Sus scrofa: one gene and its partner. The protein of the gene in region 1 interacts with the protein of each later gene in a pairwise test. Links are inferred from orthologs where the notes say so. Each region holds a gene or a part of one and is shown in the gene's direction. Other genes may lie near its edges. The genes, in order: TBL1XR1 and ARL2.

Region 1 (3,818 bases):
ATATGTTATAAATACATTCCTTATATTTTCAGGGTTTTGTTGTTGCTTATTTATGGTCATTTTGCCTCTGTACCTCTTTATTTATTCATAATGTAATCTTAGATGCTTTAATTAAGCTAGTGCTTGGTGGCCCCCAAAGTGGAGACTGAGAAAAATGTTGGAAATGGAAATCTCTGATAGTCTAGTTTTTTTTTTTTTTTTTTTTTTTTGCCTTATTAATAATAGGATGTAAATATGTTGCCTTGATTCTGGAATACTTGAGAATATCATGAGGATTTAAAATATATTGCATACTTTATAGGTCTGGAGACTCAACAGCAAGAATATGGAATCTTAGTGAAAATAGCACTAGTGGCTCCACACAGTTAGTACTTAGACATTGTATACGAGAAGGAGGGCAAGATGTCCCAAGCAACAAGGATGTGACATCTCTAGATTGGAATGTGAGTATTACTGTATTGTCCATGATGGATCTAGTTATTAATATACTGAACTTCTCTGAGCCTCAGACTTAAGACAGGGTATGTCTGTTTGTTCAGTTACTTTTTGGATTTCACTGACTAGTAAGAACAACAAACTAGGAGTCCCCACCTCTCTAATGTGTCAAAAACAAAGACTGCTCAAGCAAGCAGGCCAAAGTTCATCTTCCAGCTCCTCAGTTTATCTAGCTGCAGAACCTTTGCATATAACTGGTCTATCACTCTGTGCTTCACTTTCCTTACATGTAAAGTATTAATGTATGTATTAATGGTCCCACATAAATGAAGTAAAAATGAAAATCAGTAACAAGCACATAGTAAATTCTTAACTACTAAGCCTTTTGCTGGAGGTATAAGGGAAATCTGTACAATAAAAACATATTCTTCTTTCTCTTATTTAGCTGAGAACTGATAAAAACTTCTTTGCCAGCTGTCTTTTACTTTTACTGAATCATTATAAAGTTATAATTTTGATGTCCTTCCCAGACTATCACCCCACTCCATCTTTAGTCATGTACATCTATTGGAATATAGGAGACCTTAGCATGCAGTTGGCAATGAAGTTTTCATCAGGAACTGTTTGTCTAGATGTCTTCCAAGCTGCATTCTAGCTGTATGAATCTTAACATTCTCTAATTCTATATATTATTCAGAATCTTTCTAGGATAACTTGACTACTCTGATTTACTAGAAAGTTTTATTTCATTATTGATAAAGCTTTATCCTTTCAGTTTCAGATATATGATTTTTTTTCTTTTAAGAGCTGCAGCTGTGGCATATGGAAGTTCCCAGTCTAGGGGTCAAATTGGAGCTGCAGATCCAGGCTGCATCTGCAACCTACACCACAGCCCACCGCAATGCCAGATCCTTTAACCTACTGAGCGAGGCCTGGGGTCGAACCTGCATCCTGAGGGATTCTAGTTGGGTTTATTACCGTTGAGCCACAGCAGGAACTCCTCAAATACATGATTAACAGCTTTGTTTGCAGTCCCATTATTAATTTGCAGGAAATCACCATTTTTAAAGTTTCTGTATCTTTCTCTTTATCCCATGTTGCCTTTTTCTTCCTTGTAACTTTACATCAGTTTCTTAAACACCACCCCCCACCCCAGTTCTGAGAAGCCTTTCAGACACCAGTGTTACTAAGAATTTTTAGGGTCAGCTGTCCTTTCCTTAGCAAGTGGACATCTTCTCCTTCTCTGGCCTCTGTTTAACAACTTTGTGGGGCTTTCCAAAGGATTTTCCAAATCTTATTCCAAGAAATGAGCTCTATCTTTAAACATGATTACTCTATGAAATTCTTCCAGAACTCATAGGTAAGATTTTTTAATATTCTTTTCTAAATTTCCAGCAATGTGTTTATTCTTCCCCTGTATAAATTTGAGAATTCTAGAAATGAAAAGAAGTTTAGCACATTTCAGTTATTACTTGGTCGAAGGGTCAGAACTAAGAATTGTCTTCTTAATATGGTACCTAACTATATCATAGATTAAAGGCCTTCTGTCTTTCTTAATCTGTTTGTCTTGGAGGCCATGTTAATTAAATGAAGTTTACTGATTACACTGAAAAGAATGGTTAATAAATGGTATGTTGAACTTGGTGGTTCTGAACTGCAAGTTAAAAGTTTTTTAAAGTGTGGACTTTTGAAGATTTATTTTCACTACAAGCTTAAATCTTCCACTAAAAGGGGAATATATTACTGTTGATTAATGGCTCTTTTCCATGACTAAAGCAAGAGCCTGTGAAATATCTGATCTTTAAAGTGTTCTTTTCCTACTTTAGTGGTCCATGATCTTAAAACATTTGGGGACCATTTTAGAAGGAAACTTTCCATTGTTCCGAGTCTGAAATTAAGATTTTGCTGTTGGCTTCAGCATTGCTGCTTCTTCCTTAGGGCCTTTTCAAATCCTAGCAAATCTCAGTCTACAACCCATAGAACCAACATTCGTTTGCCACTTACCTGTACAGGTAAATGACTTGAGGTCTGAAAAAGGTGACTGTGTTTTCAATACACTTACTGGAAAGTATCAAAAAGTACAGAGTAAGGCAGGCTTGCATTCTCTCTCTCTCTCTCTCTCTCTCTCTCTCTAATAATGTTTACTCATCCGGGCAATAGTCTGTTTTGTGTATTCTGTCACTTGTACTTCCGTAGAATAAGTTAAGTGTGTCCTTGTGTTGTACCATTAATCAAGTAAGGCACATGTAAGGGAATAAGGGAATATAGGATTAGAGAAATTGGTATAGATTTCTCCTCATAGTAGAGTAGTTCCAGGCAACTGTACTTACTTCATTAACTATAAAGTCAGTCTACACTCTTTTCTGGCTCTTTTTCTTGTGTTGCTGTTTTTATTGTAAGGATTTCATATTGGGAAATAATTAAGAAAGGAAAGAAACATTCAGTGATATTTAAGTATCTGATCATCTGAAACAACAATATTATTTGGAACACACACAGACATACAGACACATAGTTTAGACAATAAAAGATTTAGAGGGAGGTCTTTATAAAAACTTCTAATCGTAATGAAATATTTTGAAAGGGTTCTCTCTACTTTTCCTGAATCATTATAAAGTTATGATTTTGATGTCCTTCCTAATCCATCACCCCACCCCCATCTTTAGTCACGTGCACCTATGGGAATGTAGTAAACTTTAGCATGCACAAGAGTGATGTTGATCCTGCACCAGAGCAGTTGCTGCCATTCTTGAGATTTTGACATGAGGCTCACATCATGACTAAATGCTGACAAAATTCTACAGCAATGAAGGGTTTTCTGTAGGCCTTTCATGGCTCTTCCAAGTAGGCAAAGCTGAAGGTTTTGAAGCAGAGAATGTCACAGATCAGCTGTACCTGGGATTTAAACATGAAATATTCTGATAACAATTAAATGTCCTTTCTGGATTTTTTAATTGAAGAAGTATGTTTCTCTTACAGAGTGAAGGTACACTTCTAGCAACTGGTTCCTATGATGGATTTGCCAGAATATGGACTAAAGATGGTAAATGAAGCACTTTTTCTTTTCATTTGCTATTAGTGTTGATCTAAGTTATACAGTTTAAAGTAATTTTAATGTTTTTCCTTTTGAATATTAGGTAACCTTGCTAGCACCTTGGGGCAGCATAAAGGTCCTATATTTGCATTAAAGTGGAATAAGAAAGGAAATTTCATCCTAAGTGCTGGAGTAGACAAGGTAAAAAGAATATTAAACTAACTTCTATAAAGGTTAATTTGTTATGGAGTTCCCGTTGTGGCTCAGTGGTTAACGAATCAGACTAGGAACCATGAGGTTGCAGGTTTGATTCCTGGCCTCATTCAGTGGGTTAAGGATCTGGCGTGGC
Region 2 (3,586 bases), on another chromosome or scaffold:
ATTCTTCATGCACCTCAGGTCATCAGAGCGGAGCAGGCTAGACCTGGAGGGCTCTGGAGCGTCTGTCCGTCACCCCCTCCCTGTTTACAGAAGAGGGTCTGAGGCTCGGAGGAGAGCAGTGCCCACTGGGTGGTGACTGGGCTGGAACCAAGGGCCTAGCCCAGCCTGGGGCTCCCTCCACCCCGTAAATGGCTGGACACAAAGGCCATCTCCCCCACCCCCACCCCGCCTGTGTCTTTCCCACTGCTATGGGACCTTGCCCTGGGTGAACAGTGGAGGGGCCAGGCTGCCCTCTGAAGCCCCCCCACACACACACCCCTCTATTTCTCTTTCCCCAGCGCCTGGCTGGTGCCACCCTCCTCATCTTTGCCAACAAGCAGGACCTGCCCGGAGCACTGTCCTCTAAGGCGATTCGCGAGGTGAGTGCAGGCCTTGGAGGAAGGAAGGGGCATGCATTTCCTTGTTAATTTAAGAAGCATTTGTTGGGAGTTCCCCGGCAGCTCAGCAGGTTGAGGATCAAGCGTTGTCACTGATGTGACTCTGGTTATGGGTATGGCGAGGGTGGGTTCGATCCCTGTCCTGAGAACTTCCACATGCCACAGGTGCAGCCAATAAGTAAATAAGTAAATAAATGAATAAGCATGTATTAGCCGTGCCGTGTGGCAGGACCTACTCAGGGTATTGGGGAGTCAGTGATTAGTAAGAGAGTTGAGCCCACAGCCCAGGGGCAGGCAGACCTGAAAATAGATTATTCCACAAGGGAACAGTAGCTTCCACGTGCTAGGCTGTGCACGGATTAACTCATTTAGTTCGCACAGCAACCTCACAAGGTAGGAACTATTACATCATTCTACACACAGTGAGGCAGGCTTAGAAAGGTAACTGGCCCAGGGTCACAGGGTAAGCAGACAAGCCAGGATTTAAACACAGGCCGGTGTGACTCCAGATTGTATCTTAACTCTCTCTCTTTACTTTTTTTAAATGTCTTTGAGTCACTTTTATTTGTTTTTTATTTTTGTCTTTTTTTTTTTTTTTTGCTTCTGCGGCATATGGAGGTTCCCAGGCTAGGGGTCTAATCGGAGCTGTAGCCGCCGGCCTATGCCACAACCACAGCAACGCACGATCCAAGCCACCTCTGCAACCTACACCACAGCTCACGGCAACGCCAGATCCTTAACCCACTGAGCAAGGGCAGGGATCGAACCCGCAACCTCATGGCTCCTAGTCAGATTTGTTAACCACTGAGCCACAACGGGAACTCCTATTTGTTTTTTATTTTTATATTTTGTCTTTTTAGGGCCGCACCCGTGGCATATGGAGTTTTCCCAGGCTAGGGGTCGAATCAGAGCTGTAGCCGCTGGTCTACACCACAGCCACAGCTACTCAGGATCTGAGCCGAGCCTTCGACCTACACCACAGCTCATAGTGACACCAGATCCTTAACCCACTGAGCGAGGCCAGAGATTGAACCTGCATCCTCATGGATGCTAGTCAGATTCGTTGCCACTGAACCAGGATGGGAACTCTTTTTTTTTTTTTTTTTTTTTGACAAAGCAAAAAGCTTTATTGGGAAGAGGCTCCCTGGGCAGAGAACAGTAGGGTAAGGGAATCGGATTTGCTGCCATGTGGCTCAAAGCCTCAGGTTTTATGGTAATGAGGTTAGTGTCTGGGTTGTCTCTGGCCAGTCATCTTGTTTGGCCCATAATTTGGTCTGAGCTGGGGTCCTTTTCTGGTGGCACATGCATCCCTCAGCCAAGATGGATTCCAGCGCCAAGGATCCTGGGAGGTTGGTCACCTCCTTCCTTCTCTCGGCCCCTCCCAAATTCTCCTGGTTAGTATTTGGCAGCACGTGTTCCTTCTTGGGACCTCCCATTGTCAGAGTGCATCTTAAGTCTGATTGTAGACTGGAAGGCTAGAACGAGAAAGAGTGGGGTTAGAAACTGGGTTCTGCCACTTACTAGCTGTGTGACTTTAGGAGGTTGCTTAACCTCTCTGAAGTTTCCTCCTCAGTAAAATGGCCAGTACAATCCCTGGCTCATGGGGCCTTGGGGGGGAATGGGTGAGAGGATACTGTAGGGCCCAGAGCACCACATCGGGAGCCCTTGTTGCCGTGCTGGTCTGGCTGTCGTGTACAGAGAGCTCAGGTGCTCTGGACGGTGGAGCGGAAGCGGGGTGCGGGGGTGTGTGTGACACATCTTCACCAGGGGCCAGGGGAAGCCTCCCACAGCAGGCCCTGGAGGGAGGTGTGGATTTCCCCTGGGCCAGGAGGGGAAAGGGGCTGAGGGGGGTCGGGCCCTGTGGACACCGGGGCCCTCTGTCACCTTCCTCCCTTCTAGGCCCTGGAGCTGGACTCCATCCGCAGCCACCACTGGTGCATCCAGGGCTGCAGTGCCGTCACCGGGGAGAACCTGTTGCCTGGCATCGACTGGCTCCTGGATGACATCTCCAGCCGCATCTTCATGGCCGACTGAGCCACTCCAGATGCCCCCTCACCTCACGGTCCAGGCGCCCCCACCAGGCCCTCGCCAGGCACCATCCACGCGGGCATGGGAGTCAGCCAGCCCCACTAACACCCCTGCCCCACTCCATAACCTGCTGCTGCTACTGCTGCCCACTGCTGCTCCGGGGCCAGCCGGCTCCCGCCCTGGCTGTCACCCTGGCTCCTAACTTGGCCTGCGGCAGCAGCAACTATACCAAGAAGAGAGGGCTGGGGCTGGGAGGGGGCTGCGTCTGCTGCTGTCAAGGCTGTGGGCCTCGTCTTTTGCTCAGCTGTGAGAATAAAGTGTTCCTCGCCCCCATTCCTGGCTGAGTCATTTGTTGATTCAACAACCCTAGAGACCGCCTGGAGTTCATTGGCCAGCAGAGGACAGAAAAGGTAATTGCAGTCCGAGGTGAACTCGCTGTATGAAAGGGACTGCAGAGAGTTAGAAAAGTGCAGGACAGGGCTGCTGGGAGACGGGGTGAGGGGGGAGCAGGGAGGCGGGGAGCGGGGGGGACGGACTCCGATGCAGGAAGGAGGAGCAGGCATCAAGTAGAGCAAGCTAACGAAGAGCAGAGCTGCGAAGGGGCCTTCCCTCAAGGCTCAAGGGCATTTCTGAAGCAGGAACCAGACTGGGAGAGCATGGGAACCAGGGGGACCCCAGGACCCCCATCCAGGTGGCAGAGCAGATGGAAGTTTTCACAGGGCCCCCTGCTGTGGTCCTGCCAGTGGTGCTTTCTCTGCAGGGTTCCCTCTGAAGATTTGTCACTTGCCATCACACTGAAGAACAGCCCCAAACAGGACAGATTCTCAGTGTCCCCATTCATAAAGCAACTGAGCCTCCGGGAGGAGACGTGACTTACCCAAAACTATCCACCTAGGGCGTTCCCACTGTGGCTCAATGGTAATGAACCCGACAAGCATCCACGAGACACAGGTTCCATCCCTGGCCTCACTGGGTTAAGGATCCATGCATTGCCGTGAACTGTGGTGTATGTAGGTCACAGACGCAACTCAGATCTGCCGTGGCTGTGGCTGTGGTGTAGGCCAGGGGCTACAGCTCTGATCGGACCCCTAGCCTGGGAACTTCTGTATGCCACAGGTAGG

What was found.
Region 2: the proteins of TBL1XR1 (region 1) and ARL2 interact in binary tests that used the Homo sapiens proteins (3 or more experiments, as listed by UniProt). The two-hybrid records come from large-scale screens. The link is inferred for Sus scrofa from reciprocal best matches to the Homo sapiens genes TBL1XR1 and ARL2.

Annotation. Positions count from the first base shown.
Region 1 is NC_010455.5:115,338,038-115,341,855, reverse strand, and holds part of TBL1XR1 (F-box-like/WD repeat-containing protein TBL1XR1), read left to right. Parts: intron 1-301; coding exon 302-443; intron 444-3,414; coding exon 3,415-3,478; intron 3,479-3,572; coding exon 3,573-3,670; intron 3,671-3,818. UniProt on the Homo sapiens protein: F-box-like protein involved in the recruitment of the ubiquitin/19S proteasome complex to nuclear receptor-regulated transcription units. Plays an essential role in transcription activation mediated by nuclear receptors.
Region 2 is NC_010444.4:7,157,175-7,160,760, reverse strand, and holds the end of ARL2 (ADP-ribosylation factor-like protein 2), read left to right. Parts: intron 1-338; coding exon 339-419; intron 420-1,526; exon of another isoform or gene 1,527-1,912; intron 1,913-2,336; coding exon 2,337-2,471; 3' UTR 2,472-2,798; downstream 2,799-3,586. UniProt on the Homo sapiens protein: Small GTP-binding protein which cycles between an inactive GDP-bound and an active GTP-bound form, and the rate of cycling is regulated by guanine nucleotide exchange factors (GEF) and GTPase-activating proteins (GAP).